2 linked regions of the Mus musculus genome follow. The protein of the gene in region 2 binds, or shares a complex with, the protein of the main gene of each other region. Links are inferred from orthologs where the notes say so. Each region holds a gene or a part of one and is shown on either strand. Other genes may lie near its edges. The genes, in order: Smurf2 and Smad7.

Evidence for each region.
Region 1: the proteins of Smad7 (region 2) and Smurf2 are in contact, whole or in part, in an NMR structure (PDB 2LTZ), measured with the Homo sapiens proteins. The link is inferred for Mus musculus from reciprocal best matches to the Homo sapiens genes SMAD7 and SMURF2. Residues at the interface, in NP_005895.1 of Homo sapiens: Glu203, Leu204, Glu205, Ser206, Pro207, Pro208, Pro209, Tyr211, Ser212, Arg213, Tyr214, Pro215, Met216, Asp217; in NP_073576.1 of Homo sapiens: Glu304, Arg306, Asn307, Thr308, Ala309, Thr310, Arg312, Tyr314, Val316, Asp317, His318, Arg321, Thr322, Thr323, Gln324, Phe325, Thr326.

The regions. Positions count from the first base shown.
Region 1 is NC_000077.6:106,917,730-106,922,110, forward strand, and holds the start of Smurf2 (E3 ubiquitin-protein ligase SMURF2), read right to left. Parts: upstream 2,987-4,381; 5' UTR 2,504-2,986; coding exon 2,452-2,503; intron 1-2,451. UniProt on the Homo sapiens protein: E3 ubiquitin-protein ligase which accepts ubiquitin from an E2 ubiquitin-conjugating enzyme in the form of a thioester and then directly transfers the ubiquitin to targeted substrates.
Region 2 is NC_000084.6:75,365,697-75,370,229, forward strand, and holds the start of Smad7 (mothers against decapentaplegic homolog 7), read left to right. Parts: upstream 1-1,668; 5' UTR 1,669-3,259; coding exon 3,260-3,872; intron 3,873-4,533. UniProt on the Homo sapiens protein: Antagonist of signaling by TGF-beta (transforming growth factor) type 1 receptor superfamily members; has been shown to inhibit TGF-beta (Transforming growth factor) and activin signaling by associating with their receptors thus preventing SMAD2 access.

The sequences.
Region 1 (4,381 bases), on a different chromosome or scaffold from region 2:
CTCAAACTTCACTGAGGGGACGTTTCCATAGTGCGGTGGTTATAATGTTTACCTCACAAATGTCACTCATAAATCTGTATAAACTCTCATATGCAGGAAAAAAATGACAGATAAATATAAGAGCTACTCAATCACACTAACCAACCCTCAGAACACTGAGCTGGCTGAGGGGGGAGGGTATTTCCTCTCCAGCCTGATGACCTGAGTTGGACTGGGAAGACTCGTAAGATAGAAAAGGAGATCTCACCTTGTCCTATCCAGCACACACGTTCCATGGCCATCACACACACACACACACACACACACACACACACACAGTACATAAATGTACTCTCAGTTCATTTTCAGTACATCTTAGTTCATTTGAACTACTCTGTTTCTTAAAACTATTGGGAAATTTGCCTGTGAATAGTTTTCGCAAAGTCTGACAAATACTAAAACCTCAGAACTCATTTTTTAATAATTTATTTTTATTTTATGTGCATTGGTGTGAGTGTGTCAGATCCCTTGGGACTGGAGTTACAGACAGTTGTGAACTGGAATTTGGGTGCTGGGAATTGAATCTGGGTCCTTTGGAAGAACAGAGGGTGCTCTTTACTAAGCCATCTCTCCAGCCCACCTCAGAACTCATTTTATCCAAAGAAAACCCAAACCCCTCTTTTCTCTCCCATACACATATATGTGTGTATGTGTATATATATGTATATGTATATATGTGTGTGTGTGTGTGTGTGTGTGTATATATATATATATATATCCCAGAAGGAAATAAATAACATCCATTTCTGATGGCTTTTGCACACCTACACTCACAATTTCTTTCTGTAATTATTGACAAAGGCGTGCCTAATAAGAACATTAATATATAAACTAGAGCACCAAGGATCCTTTATAATTGTATTCCGCTGACTTCCCCCCGCCCAAATGAACACAATAAAGATGAAAATCAAAGCACCCCCCCCACCCAGTGTTAATAATACCTTGTAATTTTCCCTAGGGAAAAAAAGGCTTCCAGGTCAATACTATGTATATTTTTTAATTACTGGAGATAGAGGTGGTATGTGTACCTAAGTGCAGGTGCTTGTGGGAGGCCAGATGCATCAGATCCCCTGGAGCTAGAGTTACAGGTGATAGTGAGCCGAGGACCTGGGTTGGGGTGTTGCGACTAGAACTCAGGTCCTCTTAGAGAACAGGATACATTTAACTACTGTGCCATCTCTTCAGCCTCAAAAGTAAAGTATTTTACTCTGTAGCCAACATACATTCCAACTAAGTTCTCAAATACCAAATTCACTTCAAGCTACCTAGAAAGTACAGCCGATGGACTGCCGGTTAACACACAAACATTCAACTACAAAGTTCACCCACAGAAATCTCAAAGTTTAGTGTGGGCAAACATAATTACAGCTTATCCTTCGCTGGCGCAAATGCATATGAACCAACTACAAAATGCCGTCTTCTTCACCACACATCTGAATATAAATGTGGACAATTTACTTGCTGTGAATGACGTGACTAGCTAGCAGAGGGACAATAGTTTCAATTACACGCTTTAAACCAAACGCAATTTTTCCTTAAAAGGAGGGGGACGTTGACCACGGAAGAATATCAGAAGTGGCATCGTAAGCAAATTATACCTGTAATATGTTAACAACTCCCTGCAGCTGGGAACATTAAACAGTCTTTCCCAAATCCCTCTGAGCATTCCTTTCCATTTAGAAAGAGGGTGAGAAGTGTGGAGAGGACTAGTGAAAGTTAGCTTAAAAGTTCGTATGCGTCCAGACTGAGAAACACATTGCAAAGCAAGGGATTCTAAACCAGGTCTGGAGTTAAGACATGAGCAACTAGTTCTGCGGCCTACAAGGAACAACCCCAAACATGCTACCCTACAATCAAACAACTTCCAAAACACAGAGTGTACAATGAGCCGGGAGTCGTGGGATCAGGCAGACACGCCGGAAAAGCCAACCACAGTCTCGGTCCCTCCCTCCCAGAGACGTGCGTTTAAGGTGTGTGGCACTGGCCACAGAGGTTGGCAGCACTGGAGAGTAAAGGTTTCACTGCCGGGCATAGGTAGGTGTCCAAGTTAACAACCCGGGAACACAAGCACTCTCCCGTTAAGCACTCACTCCATGTTTAAGGAGTGTTTACCGCGCGCAGTCAGCAACTGGATTCAGTAATCCCTTTCCCGACCCCACCTGGGCAGGAGCCCAGGGGCTGCTCCTGTGACCCCAGGAAACGAGACTTCAGGACCTCAAATCCGCCCTCCACGGGAGACCCACGGGCCACACACTGGGCGTTCTGAAGAATTTCCCAACCCCAGCTAAGTGGTTCTCCAATGACTCCCTAAACTAGGCCTTCCCACGCCCGGATTCCCGTCCAACGCCACCACCGACCGCGACCCCGGCCCTCTGCTTGCCCACAGGCGCCACAGCCGCCCGCCCAGCTCACCTGTCAGGCGCAGCTTGACGGGCCCGTTCCTCCGGCCTCCGGGGTTAGACATGTCCCCAGCGGCGGGGGAGGTGGCGGCGGCGGCGGCGGCGGCGCTCGCGGCCGGCGGGCCGGCGGGCGGGCGGGCGGACTGGGCTGGGCTGGGCCGACGGCGAGGCGCAGAGGAGTCACCACAGCGGCCGGGGCCGGGGTCCGAACAGCCCGCGCCGCGGCCGCCAGGGCCGGAGGGTCCCGGATGTGCCGAGCGCCGTCGCCATGAGCCGCGGAGGGAGCGGGACGCAGAGCTCCCCCCTCCTCCCACTTCTGCTTCCTCGGCCCGGGCCACACAACAAAGCGGCAGCCGCGGCCGGCCGCGCCGCCTCCGCCCCGCGCCCCCGCCGCCTCTTGTCCTCGCGGTCCGCCTCGGTCTCCCCTTCTCGGTGCCGCGAGGCCTGGGAGCGGACGGTGCGAAGTCTGCTGAGGCGGGCGGGTGCTCGGCCGCTTCCTCCTCCGCCCGCCCTCTTGTCTGAGAGAACCCGGTCCTGGGGCCGCAGCCGCTGCCGCCGCCGCCGCCGCCGCCACTCGTCGGCTCCTGGGGGCGGGGAGGAGACGGGGGCGGGGCCGGCGGGCGGGGCGGGGTTGCGGTGGGCGGGGCCGGCGAGGGGGCGGGCTTGTGGGCGAGGTCTCCTGCGCCTGGGGCGCCAGAGGAAGGCCTGGCTCCGCGCGAGCTGCGGGCAGCGCGTGCGCCACGGCCCAGACTGGGCCCCGAACTACACCGCCCGGCGGCGCCGGCTCGATGGCACCAGAGGGGCCTACTGACCAGCTAGCTCACTGAAAGATCGCCTGTGTCCCTACAGGGCAGAATGCCCGAGTAATACTCCCACTGCGCGCTCTGAGAGGCTGGCGAGAGTAAAGTTAGACCCAAGTCCGAAGAATTAATTCGCCAAGATGCTATTCCCACATCGAACGCTCCAGCAAATTCCCAGGAGTGCTTAGCTCTGAGTATTGTAATTGCCACCTCCACAGGCTCACCTGGTGCTCCATATCCGGTTACCTACCTGCTCGATTCTTCCCCCAACCCTGCCCAGGACAAGCATAGGGAGATAATACAAATGCGGCCAAAGACTGTGAACAAGATAGGTGGATATAGTGTGGAAAGCTCACGCAGTACTGTATTTTGCTGTCCCAGGAGGAAAAAAGAAAATGAATAGGACTGTAACTCTGACGCGGTGACTTACAACTAATAAGAACTTATTCTGGACAAATAAATAATGCAGGTTGTTTTGGGATTTTGTTTTGCAAGGTTGGGGTGAGAGTGCAGCCTAATAGTGAATTGTATTACATCAACTGCAACACATTTTTATGCAGCCATCTAAATGGCAATTGTGGTAGCCATGTAACATGTCAGACTTTATATGTAATGCAGGGTTTAAATGGAGAATACAAGTTTTATGTGCACGCAAGAGTAATAATGCAAACTAAGGATAAGAGTGTGGATTTGTGCCGGGCAGTGGTGGCGCATGCCTTGGGAGGCAGAGGCAGGTGGATTTCTGAGTTCGAGGCCAGCCTGGTCTACAAAGTGAGTTCCAGGACAGCCAGCGCTACACGGAGAAACCCTGTCTCAAAAAACCAAAAAAAAAAAAAAAAAAGAGTGTGGATTTATATCCATGTTAGCTTTGCTTTAAAGCTGTTATAACATTAATGCCGTTTAAACTGTTCATTGAAGCCTAATACATTTTAATCCTAAAACATTGCAAATGGTGACTTAAAATCTACCAGTTAAGACACTTCATTCTCCAGGTGAAATCCAAGAGCGTTTCATCGGTCTAAAAACACTCCTACGGATTAAAGTGATCCCAAAATCATAAGTTCTAGCAGTAAGACTTAAAATACAAGGGACAGCTCTAAAAATTCAATCAAGAAATACTAAGTGCTTATTATTCACAAAGCA
Region 2 (4,533 bases):
TTCTTCCCGGGTTGCTTTAGAGTGTTCACACACCATTCCAATAAGTGGCATTTTAATTTTTAGTAGAATTACTATGCCATCCAGTAATTACTGCTTACGTGCCCCTCTCTGTCCGGTCCTGCTGATGGTCCTATACTGTTGTCTTCCTTCCACAACGTAGGGCTCCCTAGGGAGAGAATCATGTGATAGAACTTGTTGGTTTTCTTTTCTAGTTGTAAGAGTTTAGTGTGGAAGGGGAATGGTCAGAGAACCTAATTCAAAATGATGATTCCTAGTTAGTGTTGCTAGTCACTGAATCCAGGGTCTCTAAGGAATTATACCCCCAGCCCTCTAAATGTGTGTCAATTATCTATCAGGTTAGAAACAAACGTTACTGGAAAGAAAGGGTATTTATAATTTATCTTTTCCAGAACATATCATTCCAGTGGCAAGAAATAAATATTATATTCCACATCTGGTAAAAAAAAATTCTTTTACCCCCCCCCCCCCCCGTAAGTTTCATGACTGTCCTAATGTTACAATTTCAAGCAACTTTTCAAAAACCTACTAAATATGTCAGGTTGGATCACCATGCCAACTAGTTGTCTCAGTAACATTTAACACTCTAGTACTATCCTCAGACCTGCTCCACGGACTTTTGCTTGACAAATACCTTTTCTACTTCCTAGCAATCACTTGCATCTGGGGATAGCTTTCTCTGGAACCTATGGTGAAGGAATAAACTCTCTGACCCTAAGCAGGCCCCGCATGCGATTGGATGCTCTAAGCAGGTCTGCTGGCTGGGCAAGGTTAGCGCGCCGGGAGGCCGAGTGGCGGGTGCCGGAGGTCTTCCAGGCCGGGAGGAAACCTGCCGGCGGCGCGCGGGCGAGCTGCACCCCTCCTCCCTCCAGGATGCTGCCCCTCGCTGCTCGTCAGCCTGCCAAATGCATTCCAGAGCTGTGCACAAGACACACTTCTCCAGGCAGTCCTAGAAACCCGAGCCCGGAGCGGGAGAGGGCGGGAGGGAGCGCGGCGGCCGCTGAGGTCACATTCGCGCCGCCTCTCCGCCCTCGGCCGCCCGGCTGTTCCCTCTAGCGCACACTTCCCAGGGCCTCCGTCCTGGCCGGTGTAAATGTCTTTGAAACAGACAGCGATCTCCTCCCCTTTCCAAGGGATCCGCCGCCAGGGCCTTAAAACAAAACGAATGAATGAAGCGCCCGGGCGAGCTCTGCTGGTCTAAATCGGGCCACTAACCGGCTCATTCCGCTCCAAACTCGCCCGCTCCATGCCCCCAGCTCTTCCGATTTCCCCCTGCTCCCGCTGGGTCTCCGCCGACCCCCGGGGCCGTCTCGGCCTCCCACCTCCCTCCACCGTGGGTACCCCTCTCTAGACCTGGGAGAGGGTGGCAGTAACTGGGAGGGGGGTTGAAATAGCTTTTAGAAACCCGATCTGTTGTTTGCGAAACACAATCGCTTTTTTTTTTTTTTAAAGCGACAGGGTGTCTAGACGGCCACGTGACGAGGCCGGAGCCGGGCGCGCCACTGCGCAGTGGAACCAGCCGAGCAGAGGGACGGGTGGGGGGGCGGGAAGGAGGCGGCGGCGGCTGGGGGCGGGGGAGGGAGGGGTAGAGGGGGGAGGGAAGGGGGCGGAGGCGGGAGGCCTTGCGGGAGGCGGCGAGCCCTGGGCACATTCGCTCGCTGATCGGCGCACAGAGGATCTTGTCCCCGAGCTGCGCCAGCAGAGCCAGCCGGGCGCCTCGCTCGGTCCGCTCGCCGCGCCGGAGAGAGCTGCCTGAGACGCAGCCAGCCAGCCAGCCGGCGCCACGCCGCCGAGCGCTCGGCCCCGGAGTCCCTGAGTGCGGCGCGGCGAGCCCCCAGCGGCGGCAGAAGGACTCGAGCGCCAGGAGAGGGCGGACGGGGGACGAGGAGGCTCCGGGGCGCGACGAAGAGAGTCTCCGAGGAAGAGGCTGCGAGAGGACACCCGGGCCTCCTGCCGCCACTGTCGGGTCGGGGCCAGCAGCTCATGAGAGCAGCCCCGGCGGCCACCCGCGGCCAGGAGAAGGAGCACCGGAGGCCCCCACACTAGCCTGTGCCCTCGGGGGCGAGAGCTTGCGACCCGCCGGAGCCCGCCGCCGCGCCGCCCTCCCCCGCGCTGACAGCCCCCCGGGGCGCAGCCGCCGCCGCAGCATCTTCTGTCCCTGCTTCCCCAGCGCGGAGGAAGTCCCCGCCGAGGACCTGGGCCCCCGGGAACGCAGGAGGAAAGACCAGAGACTCTAAAACACCCAGATACGCAAGATTGAAGCAGCCTAGCCAGACCTTTCTGTGGATTAAAAGAAATACGATTTTTTTTTTTTTTTTGGCAGAAGAAAAGGAAAGGAAGACCGGCTGGGTTCAGCAAGGAAAAAAAGGGGGATGTAACTCGTGGATACGGTTTTTTTCCCCCACCCTTCCAACATCTTGTTTTACTTTGTAAACATTTTCTCTTTTAAACCCGGGCTCCATCCGGTGCCCTCCAGACCTCCGAGGTGCGAGGAGGTGGTGTGTTTTTTCATTGGGGGCTTTGCATATTTTGGTTTTGGGGGTTTTGAGAGACCCTCCAGACATCTCACGAGGGGTGAAGTCTACTCGGTCCCCTCCCTCAAGTCTTCGCGTGCACAGAATTCGAGGAGATCCGGTTACTAAGGATATAGAAGAAAAAAAATAAATCGTGCCTGCCTTTTTTTTTTAATTGCCTGCTTCTCCCCACCCCCAAATTAAGTTGCTTAGCAAGGGGGAAAGAGGCTTTTTCCTCCCTTTAGTAGCTCAGCCTAACGTCTTTCGTTTTTTTTTTTTTTTTTTTGCCCCCGAGGATCTTCCATGTAGGAAGCCGAGGCTGGCGAGCCCGACACTCGGGAGCCACTGTAGGGGGGCCTTTTTTGGGGGAGGCGTCTACCGGGGTTGCCTCGGCCGCCCCCAGGGAAGCGGCGGCCGCGTTCCTCCAGGGCACGCCGGGGCCCGAAAGCCGCGCAGGGCGCGGGCCGCGCCGGGTGGGGCAGCCGAAGCGCAGCCCCCCGATCCCCGGCAGGCGCCCCTGGGCCCCCGCGCGCGCCCCGGCCTCTGGGAGACTGGCGCATGCCACGGAGCGCCCCTCGGGCCGCCGCCGCTTCTGCCCGGGCCCCTGCTGTTGCTGCTGTCGCCTGCGCCTGCTGCCCCAACTCGGCGCCCGACTTCTTCATGGTGTGCGGAGGTCATGTTCGCTCCTTAGCCGGCAAACGACTTTTCTCCTCGCCTCCTCGCCCCGCATGTTCAGGACCAAACGATCTGCGCTCGTCCGGCGTCTCTGGAGGAGCCGTGCGCCCGGCGGCGAGGACGAGGAGGAGGGCGTGGGGGGTGGCGGCGGAGGAGGCGAGCTGCGGGGAGAAGGGGCGACGGACGGCCGGGCTTATGGGGCTGGTGGCGGCGGTGCGGGCAGGGCTGGCTGCTGCCTGGGCAAGGCAGTCCGAGGTGCCAAAGGTCACCACCATCCCCATCCCCCAACCTCGGGTGCCGGGGCGGCCGGGGGCGCCGAGGCGGATCTGAAGGCGCTCACGCACTCGGTGCTCAAGAAACTCAAGGAGCGGCAGCTGGAGCTGCTGCTTCAGGCCGTGGAGTCCCGCGGCGGTACGCGCACCGCGTGCCTCCTGCTGCCCGGCCGCCTGGACTGCAGGCTGGGCCCGGGGGCGCCCGCCAGCGCGCAGCCCGCGCAGCCGCCCTCGTCCTACTCGCTCCCCCTCCTGCTGTGCAAAGTGTTCAGGTGGCCGGATCTCAGGCATTCCTCGGAAGTCAAGAGGCTGTGTTGCTGTGAATCTTACGGGAAGATCAACCCCGAGCTGGTGTGCTGCAACCCCCATCACCTTAGTCGACTCTGTGAACTAGGTAAGAAGTTGTTCTGAGTCCACCTTTCGTTCCCTCTGGCGTGGAAATGCTCGAGGATGTGTGTATAACCTCCTGGAGGAGACAAGGAATCTAAGTCAGAGAAGGGACCAGGGGAAGCTTGGGGTTCCCTCTAAGATTTTTCTCTATTGCACCCCACCCCCCCACCCCCCGCCTCCAGAGGAGGGGACCCAGGGTTACTACTGCTTATCCTTCTACTGAATAGACATGCTGCAGAAAATGAGACAGTCTAATTTCCGGGTCTGCAAGGGGGTACAGAGTAAAGTGGGGAATCCGGCTTCCCCCGCACCCGGAAAGGCGATGAGGTGTGTGGCCGAGTTGGATTCGACCCAAGCCCGCCAAGGAAGGCTGGGAGAAACTAGCTTTAAAGGCTGGAAAGTCTCTCCTTTAGTAAATAAGGACAGTCACGTGGGACACGAGTGGCCCAGATACTGTCCTGGCCTCACAGCTTTGGAGTTTGGGGGCAGTGGTAGGATGGAGACTGAACTGGGTATCCAGTCTCAGCTGTGCGAGCTTCGGGGTGAGAAGGAACAGCTTGGAGAAGTTGGGTGGCCTCGACTTTTAATCTTTATTTCGCACAGAAAAGCATACAGTTAGTGGTCCTTAGGGTGTCCGACACTCCCACCCCCTGAGTTTCGGTGAT